Linked DNA regions of Sus scrofa. The protein of the gene in region 2 interacts with the protein of the main gene of each other region in a pairwise test. Links are inferred from orthologs where the notes say so. Each region holds a gene or a part of one and is shown on either strand. Other genes may lie near its edges.

Region 1 (4,828 bases), on a different chromosome or scaffold from region 2:
CCCCAGGGCCAGGCCTCCCGGGTGAATGAAGCCCTGGCCCACCCTCTGGCACAAGGAGGATGGAGAGGGACCACTGGCCTCTGGCTGCTCGGGGAGCAGACGCTCCTTGCCGGCTCTGAGCACTGAGTGGTGGCCCCGTTGGTCCCCCGGGGAGCCGAGTGCTGAGTGAGGATGAGAGCCCAGGGGTCAGACTCTGCAGGTCACACTGGCTGCAGGGAGGACCGCAGGGTGAGGGGGACGGCCAGGCACCCAGACCTCGGAGGCAAACGAGCCTGAGGAGCACACCCAGTGGACAGGCGCGGGCTCAGTGTTGCAGACACGGCTGCGTGGCCCTGTCCAAGGAACAGAGCGAGGCACCACCCGGCCCCTCCTGCAGCTGAGGACACTGAGGCCACATCCTCGAGGGGGAGGGGCCTGCCCTGCACGTCCATCTCCTTGCCTTGGCTGGAAGTGGGGACAGTCAGGTCAGCCACACAGCTGGAGCCTGGAGCCTGACACCCTGACTGGATGCACCCTGTGTCTGTTGCAGCAGCTCAGCAAACACCTCAACCAACAGAGCCGGCACAGCGAGGCCTGGGGCGGGGCGCCTGCAGACCCTTGGGGAGGCCTTCAGGGTGAATCTGGAAGCAAGGGCGGCAGCTGAGACCCCGAAGGGAAGGGGCATCTGCAGGTGGAGGGTGGAGACCGGTGGGGATGCTGGCAGCAGGGTGGCCTCGTGGTTGCTGCGGGGTCACCACCGGGGTCCCTATACCTGACTCTGGCGGGCAGCCTGGAAGGGGCGTGGGAGGCAGGCCTGGCACAGAGTTCAAGCGCAGGCTGCAGGAAGACAGACCAGCCCGACCTTCAGGGTTTATGGAAAGCAGACTTCCGTGGGCCTTTTGGCAAAATGGAGCCGACACAACCCATGTTTCCCATGGAAGGTTCTGGCTCCAGGCCTGTGACTGCTCGTGGACAGAGGCCCGGAAAAGCCAGCTCCCTGCTGATGAGCCAGAACCGAGCAGGTCCAGGTGGCACCAGTTACTTACATAGGTGATGCCAGTGAACCTCTTGGCCAGGTGGTAGAAGGCACCGTGGATGTAGAACCAGGCAACGTGGAGCCGCCGGAGGCAGCCAAGGACCTGCCTGAGCATCCCCGCGGCCTGCAGAAGCGCCCTCTGCTGCTGCTCCGTCAGGGTGGCCGTCCGCCTGCGCACCCAGCGCCTTGGGGCTGACTGGCTGCGTGCAGTGGGCGCCAGGCTGCCCTGCGTGGGCCGGGTGCTGTCGCCGGCCACCTGCAGCTCGTGCTCCAAGTGGAGCAGGGCCTTGTCCAGCACGTAGGGCAGGACGGTGTGCAGAGCCACCAGGATCCCGCGGCGCAGCCTGGAGGGCACTCGGCTCTGGGACGGGTCCACCTGGACGACGCTGACGTACTCTTCCCCAAGGGTCTGGTAGCCTGTGGGGGATGGGGACCTGGCAGCAATCTCCTTCCCTCTACCACGGCCGCCCCTCCTCTAAAAGACGAGGCTCCCTCAGGGCGGGCCCCCGGGGCCATGAGTTCAGCCACAGACACACAGTCCCGGGGCCTGCATGACAGGACTCTCAGTTTCCAGGGGCCCTGGCCTGGGTTTGGGCCTGGCCTCTCATCCAGGGAAGGGGCTCTGCTTCCCTGAGGCTGGTCTGGGCCAGGGACACCAGGAAGCACCTCCAGAAGCTCCTTCCTTGGCTGGCAGCCCCTCTCCTGTCCTCTGGGTGTGTCGTGGGTCCTTCGGTCCCGCCTGGGGCTGCTACCTGCAAGTGTGGTGAGGCCGAAGTAGGCTACATCCGACACCAGCTCGAGCTCTCTCCTCCACTCCAGCCACTTCTTCGCACCTGAGAGAAGAGAGAGCCTGTTACTGAGGGCCGGGGGGTGAGGCGGTGCGCTGGTGAGAATTAGAAACAGCTCTCTCTCCTGCTGCCAGGGCCCCGCCCAGTCCCCGCTCCAATGGCTGAGACTGGTCTAAACCACACTCTGTTCTCTCCCTGGCCTTCTGTGCTGTCCACTCTGCTCCATCCATACCTGCCTCACCTGGGCCGCTGAGTGTCCTGAGAACCTACCCACCAACAGCCCTCTCCCCCTCCAGGACCCACCTGGGCAACTGTTCCAGAGCCCAGAAGGGCCACAAGGACAGACGGGGTAGTACAGTGACCAGAAGCTCAAGCTGAGCCCACCGTCCAGCATCAAATCCTAGCTCCCCACAACAATGGCAGTGACCTCAGGCAAGTTACAACATTTCCCTGTCAGTAACAGGTCCTAACTTGCAGGGATGTGTTCAGAATAAAAGAAGTTAATGTTCTGAAGCACAGAGAACAGGGTCTGACACAAAGTAAGGCAAAAAATTAGCAAAAATAAATACACAAGTGGGTGCCTCCCTGCTGACGGCCACCCAAGTCCCGAATCTACGGTCCGGCCTCGCCTCGGCTGTTCCGAGTAGCAGCCCAGCTGTGGGCCAAAATCCACCCCAGGCTTTCGTCCGTCCACTGGGCTCCACTGCCGCTGCTCAACGGGGGCCTTCGTGTGTCCCCAGAGCCGTGGACGCTCCCACAGCTGGCGCCTGATCCCCACCCCGCCCCCGGCAGCCGGGGGCGAAGACCGAGGCGCTCGCTTCTTCCTGCAGCTCAGGTCTCAGCGCGGCGCGCAGGGCCTGGCCGAGCCCGCGGTGGCCGAGCCGACGGGTTTGGGGCTCGTCCGCCCGCCTGGCCCCCCAGCCTGGCGCCCAGGACCACCCGCGGGCCCCCCCAGAGGCCTCACCCGCCAGGCTGTGCAGGGCGTCGCCCGCCGCACTCCGCAGCCCGCCGCGGTAGTAGTCGTCCTTCTGCGCCGCACGGACCACCTCCGGGGGGCTGGCGGCCGTAAGAGCCATCGCCGAGGGCTTGGAGTCGAAGGGACCTGCGGCCTCGGCGACACGGAGACGGCCACGCCCACGCGGCGGCGCCAGATGACGGCCGGGGCTCGGGCTCGGCGTGGCGCGCGGCACAGACCTTGAGCGTCACAGCGCGCGGGGCGGGGCCGAGCCGGCGGGGCGGGGCGGGGCGGGGCGGGGCGGGGCGGGGCGGGGCGGGGCGGCAGAGGCCAAAGCCGAGCCCGCCCGGCTCTGTGCCGGGTCGGGTCTGTGCGGGGCGATCGCGGCCCGGGGGAGGGCAGGCGCAGAGCAGGAGGGGCGGATAGGCGGGGCATGGGGGCGAGGGGCCATGGGGACAGCCCTCAGGTATTGCGAGGAACGTCAGAGCCGGCGCGGGCGCCCTCCCCGGTGCGGAGACAGTCGTCCGCTCTCTGGGGCAGGAAGTGAGGAGGGCGTTGCTCCCTCTCCTTGCAGTGCCCTCCGCGGGGTGCTGGCATCCCTTGTGCTCTAATCCCTGCGACCACCCCCCGCCCCCCGCGGGCTGGCGGAATAGGATCTGGGGCCCAGGGCGGGGCCAGGAGTACGGATTCTTGAACTACGGTGTTTATACTGGTGGCCCCCCAGGCCCCACAAGTGCAGACCCCTGACCTCTCTGAGCTGCTCTCATAAGTGGGACCGAGGGAGACTTGGGGGCCTTGGGAGGCCATGCACTAGGGGGGACAGAGGTAGGAGAGACTAGCACCTGGGCACAGGCACAGCTGGATTTGAGCTGCAAGGAGGACCCAGGGAGGAGCCCCGGGGGAGGACAGTGGGAGGAGGAAGTGGGGCACCCTGAGGGCTCTGGGCCTGGAGCAGGTCACAACATCTGCATCTGTGCCCCAGACCAGAGGGGTCCCAGTGAAAAAGGGCCCCGTCCTGTGGGCACAAAGGGGGGGCTGTGGGACCAGCAGGAGAGAAAAAATGCAGGTGAACCTAGGGGGTGGGGGAGTCACCAGCAGTGACTTTGGCCAGCAGGCCGTGGCTTGAGACAGGCTGCAGCTCTTGGCTTCACTTCTGCTCCTGTATCCCGGCATCAGCTGTGGGTACGTGCCCAGGCTGGTGCAGCTCAACCCCCTGGAATTGAGCTGTGGGCACAGTCTAGAGCTTATCGGGGCCCCACAGCTGTAGGCAGCTCTTAGAGGGAAGGGGCAGAAGCTGGATGGTCCCACAGTCCTTCCTGCTAATGAAGCGCCTCTGTCCCTTCAGAGTGGCACCCCTGCCTGTGGGTACACCCTGTTTCCTGAACGCAGAGGCTGCCTGCTCCTTTGGCTTCCAGCCTGGGGTGGACAGACTCACAAGCGGGGCCTGGGGGAGACACTGATGCCTCAGAAATTTCTGGTCAGTCCTCACCCAACAGGCTGAAACACACTGCTCCTTCCTGACCACAGAGACGCCCTGGCCTGTGTCCACTGGCACCAAGTTGGAGCTGGAGTATTTTTTATTTTTTATTTTTATTTGTTGGTCTTTTTTAGGTCTACGCTTGTGGCATATGGAAATTCCTAGGCTAGGGATCTACTCGGAGCTACAGGTGCCGGCCTACACCACAGCTCACGAGACACGGGATCTGAGCTGCGTCTGTGACCTACACCACAGCTCACAGCAACGCCTGATCCTTCACCCATGGAGCAAGGCCAGGGATCATACCCTCATCCTCATGGCTACTAGTTGGCTTCGTTACTGCTGAGCCACGATGCGAACTCCCTGGAGGAGGTTTTGTCCCCTTTCTCAAGATCACCAGCTGGCTCCTTCAGGAAGCCTGAGGGGTGGGCACTTCCCTGGGCACCGCACCCCACTGGCAGGTCCCAGCTCCCTGCCCAGGACAGCATCCTCCCCTGTCTTCTCACTGGCACACTCACCGGGCTGGGTGAGGCCGTAAATGTTACTGAGTGTCTGTTCTCAGGGACATGGGGCCTGGGATCCAGCTGGGTTCA
Region 2 (4,843 bases):
AATGTGAGGTTAGAAATGCTCTTCTCTTTGGTTACATAGGCCAATATAGGCCTTCTGTTTAAGCCAATTTGAATGGCCTCATTGTTCCCAGCTGATATCATCTCTTCCATTAAATTCACACCATATTGAACCTGATGACTCTTAATAACTTTAAATGCAATCAATTTTGGGGTCTTATTTATTACATCATAAACCTAAGAGTGGGATCTATGATTAGGTGTTTATTTTTTGTTGGCTGTAGTAATTGACTTTTTTTTTTTTAACTGCCTTTCCCTTTTCTCATGTGATAATGTCAGTTTATTTTTGGAATAGTCTCAATGGGCTATTAAGTTGTCTTGCCATCTTTTGTCTAAGAGTGAAACAGGGAGTGGTGAGGAAATCCGAACCAAGGTAGGTCACAAGGAATCTGAATTGTAAGTACAGGGACAGAAAGAAATTTGTTGAACCTCATTCACGGCAACAATGATGCCTAGATGAGACTTTGCTAATTCTTGCGAGAAACATCCAGTAGGGCTGTATAATTACTGTACTTTCAGAGTTGGCTTTCCTTATTTTGTTAGCTACTCCATATTCTTCCGATAATTTTTTTAGTTTAAATTAGCTGTTTTCTGTTGCTTGTAGCCAAAAACCATAACTGATACAAGTTTAACTAACTTCCCATTCATCTTAGTTGATGCTATTTCTCAGCTTTGTCTTTTTGCTGTTACTTAAGAAAAGCCCATTTGTAACAGCTACCTTTGATCACATATCTAATGCCAAGTGCTTTATACATTACTCCAGTCCTTAAAACTCTGTAAGGTGTTCCCCTTGTGTCACAGCAGAAATGAATCCAACTAGTATCCATGAGGATGTGGGTTCCATCCCTGGCCTTGCTCAGAGGGTCGGGGATCTGGCATTGCCATGACCTGTGGTGTAGGTCACAGACATGGCTGGGATTCCACGTTGCTGTGGCTGTGGTGTAGGCTGGCAGCTGTAGTTCTGATTTGACCCCTAGCCTGGGAATTTCTATATGCCACTGGTATAGCCCTAAAAAGAAAAAACAAAAAACAAAAAAAACCTCTATAAGGTAAAACTCTTACATTAACGTGACTTTCTCCTGCAGGCGTTTTAGCAGAATATAAAACACTTTGTAGAACTAAAATCAAGGTTAACTTGCAAGATTTTATTTCTCCTCTTTGGATAATAAACTTTGTTTTCCACCATTCTCATTCTGTGAAACAATTAACTACCTTTATAAGGTCCTCTAAGGCAGTAACTAATAACCTCCTATGGAGTTCCCATTGTGGCTCCGCGGAAACAAATCTGACCAGTAACCATGAGGACACATATTTGATGCCTAGCCTTCCTCAGTGGGTTAAGGATCCGGTGTTGCCCTGAGCTGCGGTGTAGGTCCAAAATGCAGCTCAGATCTGGTGTTGCGTGGCTGCCACGTAGGCCAGTGGCGACGGCTCCAATTCAACAACTAGCCTGGGAATCTCTATGTGCCCTGGGTGCCACCCTGAAACAAAACAAAACAAAACAAATCACCTTCTATTTCTGGTTATTTGGGGGGGGGGAGGGGGCGTTGGAGAGAGAAGGAGATGAACTCTAACTTCATATAAATTAAACCTGCAGCAGCAACTCAACCAAGGCAATTGCATACGATGTAAAAGTACGTTGCAAATCCTAAGGTTAATTACATTCCTTCTGGTATACAAACAACGAAAACTATCTTCTCTGTCAAGCCTCCCCAGTTCACGCTAGTTAGAATTCATCTGATTCGTACCCAATATTCATATCGCTAAGGTAACACAGTCGACTGTGTACGAGCGTAGGAACCAGTTTGAACTAGCGTACCAAGTGCTTACAGTTATGCTTGAAAGAACCTAATCTAGAAGACTCGTCCCAACTTGTGAGTAACAAAAGATCTCTTCTCATCCTAATCATTTTTTTTTCTTTAAATAGCAATTGGCGACCATAAAGCTAAGGCTTCTATCTCCAATTATGTCGCTTCAAATCCTCCCCTAAGGCAGCAGAAAACGGTGAACCACCACCCTCGCCACGAGTACAGCGAGAGCCTTCCATCTTCACATTCCCTTGCGTCCCTCGACTCCTAAACTCGATCGCCCCAGGTAACAAACGCCTCTGTGGGCTGAGTTCTGGCTCCAGCCGCCAAACGTTGGTGCGGCGCCCTCAACACCCTGCTAAAAAGACTCTGCAGAGAGAGATCGGAACCGTAACTTTCCCATGAGGCGGCAAAACAAAAACAACTAGGAAAAGTAAAACCAACCAGCGGAGAACGGCTCTGCAAGCAAAACCCCTAGCGCCTTCTTTACTTTCAGCAGGAGGCGGAAGCGGAAGTCCCAGTGAGGCCATAGAGATCTCTAGTTCCGGTCTCGCGGTCGCATTCCGGGCTAGAGCGCCTCGCCTCGCCTCCGCCAGCCTTCTCCAAGCCCCGTGGTCTATTTCCGGTTGCGGCTTCTGTCATAAAGCGGAGACCTGCTTTCAAACGCTGTGTCGCGGGTCTCTGGCGCTTCGCAGGAGTCAGCGCGCTAGGACGGGAACAGGCGGGGGGGCTGCACTGCTCACAACTGAGCCTGACCGAGCGGACCCTCAGAGCCGCCTGGCTTTTGGAGCCTTTAAGATTGAAGTCTATGATTGACAGCTTCCAGGACTGCGGCTCGAGAGTTCAGCGCTCCTTCGCCCGTACCTGTCCCCCTCTGTCACACGCTCTACCCTGTGAGGTGCAGCATTAATCAAGTCACCCCCTCCCACTCGCCACTGCCACCCGCGTCTGCGTCAACTTGGTTCTTAACCTCCTTCACCCAAGAACCCCTCCCCTCTGCCTCCGGAAAAGGTCTTTTTTTGCCTAGTTCTTGTAAAATTAAGGGGGTATCCTGCAGAAAGTTATCTTCAAAACTGACACCATCTGATACTCCCCAAAAGTTCATGCTTGCTAGGGAGTTTGTGTGCAAAGCAAAACCCAGTGCACACAGGAAACTATGGCTGAACATGGGGCTCACATCACAACTGCTTCTGTAGTGGATGACCAGCCATCCATCTTTGAAGTGGTAGCCCAGGAAAGTTTAATGACAGCAGTGAGACCTGCTCTTCAGCATGTGGTCAAGGTAAGGATTTAATTCCCTGAAACGTTTTAGAGATGTCTGGGTAAAAACTAAACCAACATTTTTGAATGTATTTGTTGGCCTAAGTTTTTTTTGTTTTGTCTTTTTGCCTTTTCTAGGGCTGATTCCCGTGGCACATGGAAGTTCCCAGGCTAGGGGTCTAATCAGAGCTGTAGCCACCGGCCTAGCCACAGCCACAGCAATGCAGGATTCCGAGCAGCGTCTGTGATCAACACCACAGCTCACGGCAATGCCGGATCCTTAACCACTGAGCAAGGCCAGGGATCGAACCTGCAACCTCATGGTTCCTAGTCGGATTCGTTAACCACTGCGCCAGCACAGGAACTCCTGTTGGCCTAAGTTTTGAAATAACCAGTTTGCATATAATTCATATCCTATGATTTAACTGTTACTCGGGTCTCTGTTTTGTGTTGAGTGTTGTGTGTACTCAATACCCAGCACTTAAGGAAGCTTAAAATAGAATTTAGAGGGGAAAAAAAAGGAATTATAAATACAAGGCATAGTATATGTGTAATTAAATTTCGTTTATTTATTTTGCTTTAGGTTCTTGCAGAATCAAATCCTGCCCACTATGGCTTCTTTTGGAGATGGTTTGATGAAATTTTTACCGTGCTGGATCTTTTGCTCCAGCAGCATTATCTGTCTAAAACCAGTGCCTCGTTTTCTGAAAACTTTTATGGCTTAAAGAGGATTGTAATGGGAGACACACAGAAGCTTCAGAGATTGGCCAGTGCTGGTCTCCCAAAGAGGCAGCTCTGGAAGTCAATTATGTTCCTGGTTCTTCTTCCCTATCTGAAAGTGAAGCTGGAGAAGCTAGTTTCCAGCCTGAGAGAAGAGGATGAATATTCCATCCATCCCCCTTCTTCCCGCTGGAAGCAATTTTACAGAGCCTTCCTGGCAGCCTACCCATTTGTTAACATGGCCTGGGAAGGCTGGTTTCTAGTACAACAGCTTCAGTACATCCTAGGAAAGGCTCAGCATCACTCACCACTGCTGAGTCTGGCTGGAGTTCGCCTTGGGAGGCTTACAGTTCATGATATACAAGCTCTGGAGCACAAACCAGCTGAAGCCAGCATGATGCAGCAACCTGCTGGGAGGTAAGACCTTAACATTTCCCCCAAATCTTTGATTGATAAATTCTAAAAGCTTATCCAAATTTTATGAAACTCACCTCTCTCAGTCCACGTGGAGGTATTTCATAAAATCAGAGAAAAAAATTCTTGTGTCCATAAAACAAGGACTGTCATCCCGGTAACCTTCCTCATACTGGCTACATGTTTGTCCACACTCGCTAAAGGAAACTGTGCTAGATGTGTATATATCTCAATCCTCATCACAACTCAATGAAATAAATGCATTAGGACCATTTAACACCTGAAGAAACTAAGTTCCAACAGTTAAGTACCTTGCCAAGGCCATACAACTAGAAGGAGCAGAGCTGAGAGTCAAGCCAGATCAATACAGTTCTAAAGACTGCTCTTAACCATGGTGCTATCCCGTTTCTAGTTAGTGTGTGTTCTCCTACAAGTTCACATATATTCCTGGAGAGTTCCCTGCATGCTCAGCAGTTAACGAACCCTAACGACTAGGATCCATGAGGATATGGGTTTGATCCCTGGTTAAGGATCTGGTGTTGCCGTGAGCTGCAGTGTAGATTGCAGAAACAGCTCAGATCCCCTGTTGCTGTGGCTCTGGCGTAGGCCTGCAGCTGTAGCTCC

The links. The genes of interacting proteins can lie anywhere in the genome.
Region 1: the proteins of PEX12 (region 2) and PEX10 interact in a two-hybrid assay, tested with the Homo sapiens proteins (4 studies listed by BioGRID, with this or other methods). The link is inferred for Sus scrofa from reciprocal best matches to the Homo sapiens genes PEX12 and PEX10.

Annotation. Positions count from the first base shown.
Region 1 is NC_010448.4:64,314,691-64,319,518, forward strand, and holds the start of PEX10 (peroxisome biogenesis factor 10), read right to left. Parts: upstream 2,989-4,828; 5' UTR 2,880-2,988; coding exon 2,768-2,879; intron 1,849-2,767; coding exon 1,768-1,848; intron 1,433-1,767; coding exon 1,026-1,432; exon of another isoform or gene 1-1,025.
Region 2 is NC_010454.4:39,930,172-39,935,014, forward strand, and holds the start of PEX12 (peroxisome assembly protein 12), read left to right. Parts: upstream 1-1,508; 5' UTR 1,509-2,981; coding exon 2,982-3,107; intron 3,108-3,668; coding exon 3,669-4,222; intron 4,223-4,843. UniProt on the Homo sapiens protein: Component of a retrotranslocation channel required for peroxisome organization by mediating export of the PEX5 receptor from peroxisomes to the cytosol, thereby promoting PEX5 recycling.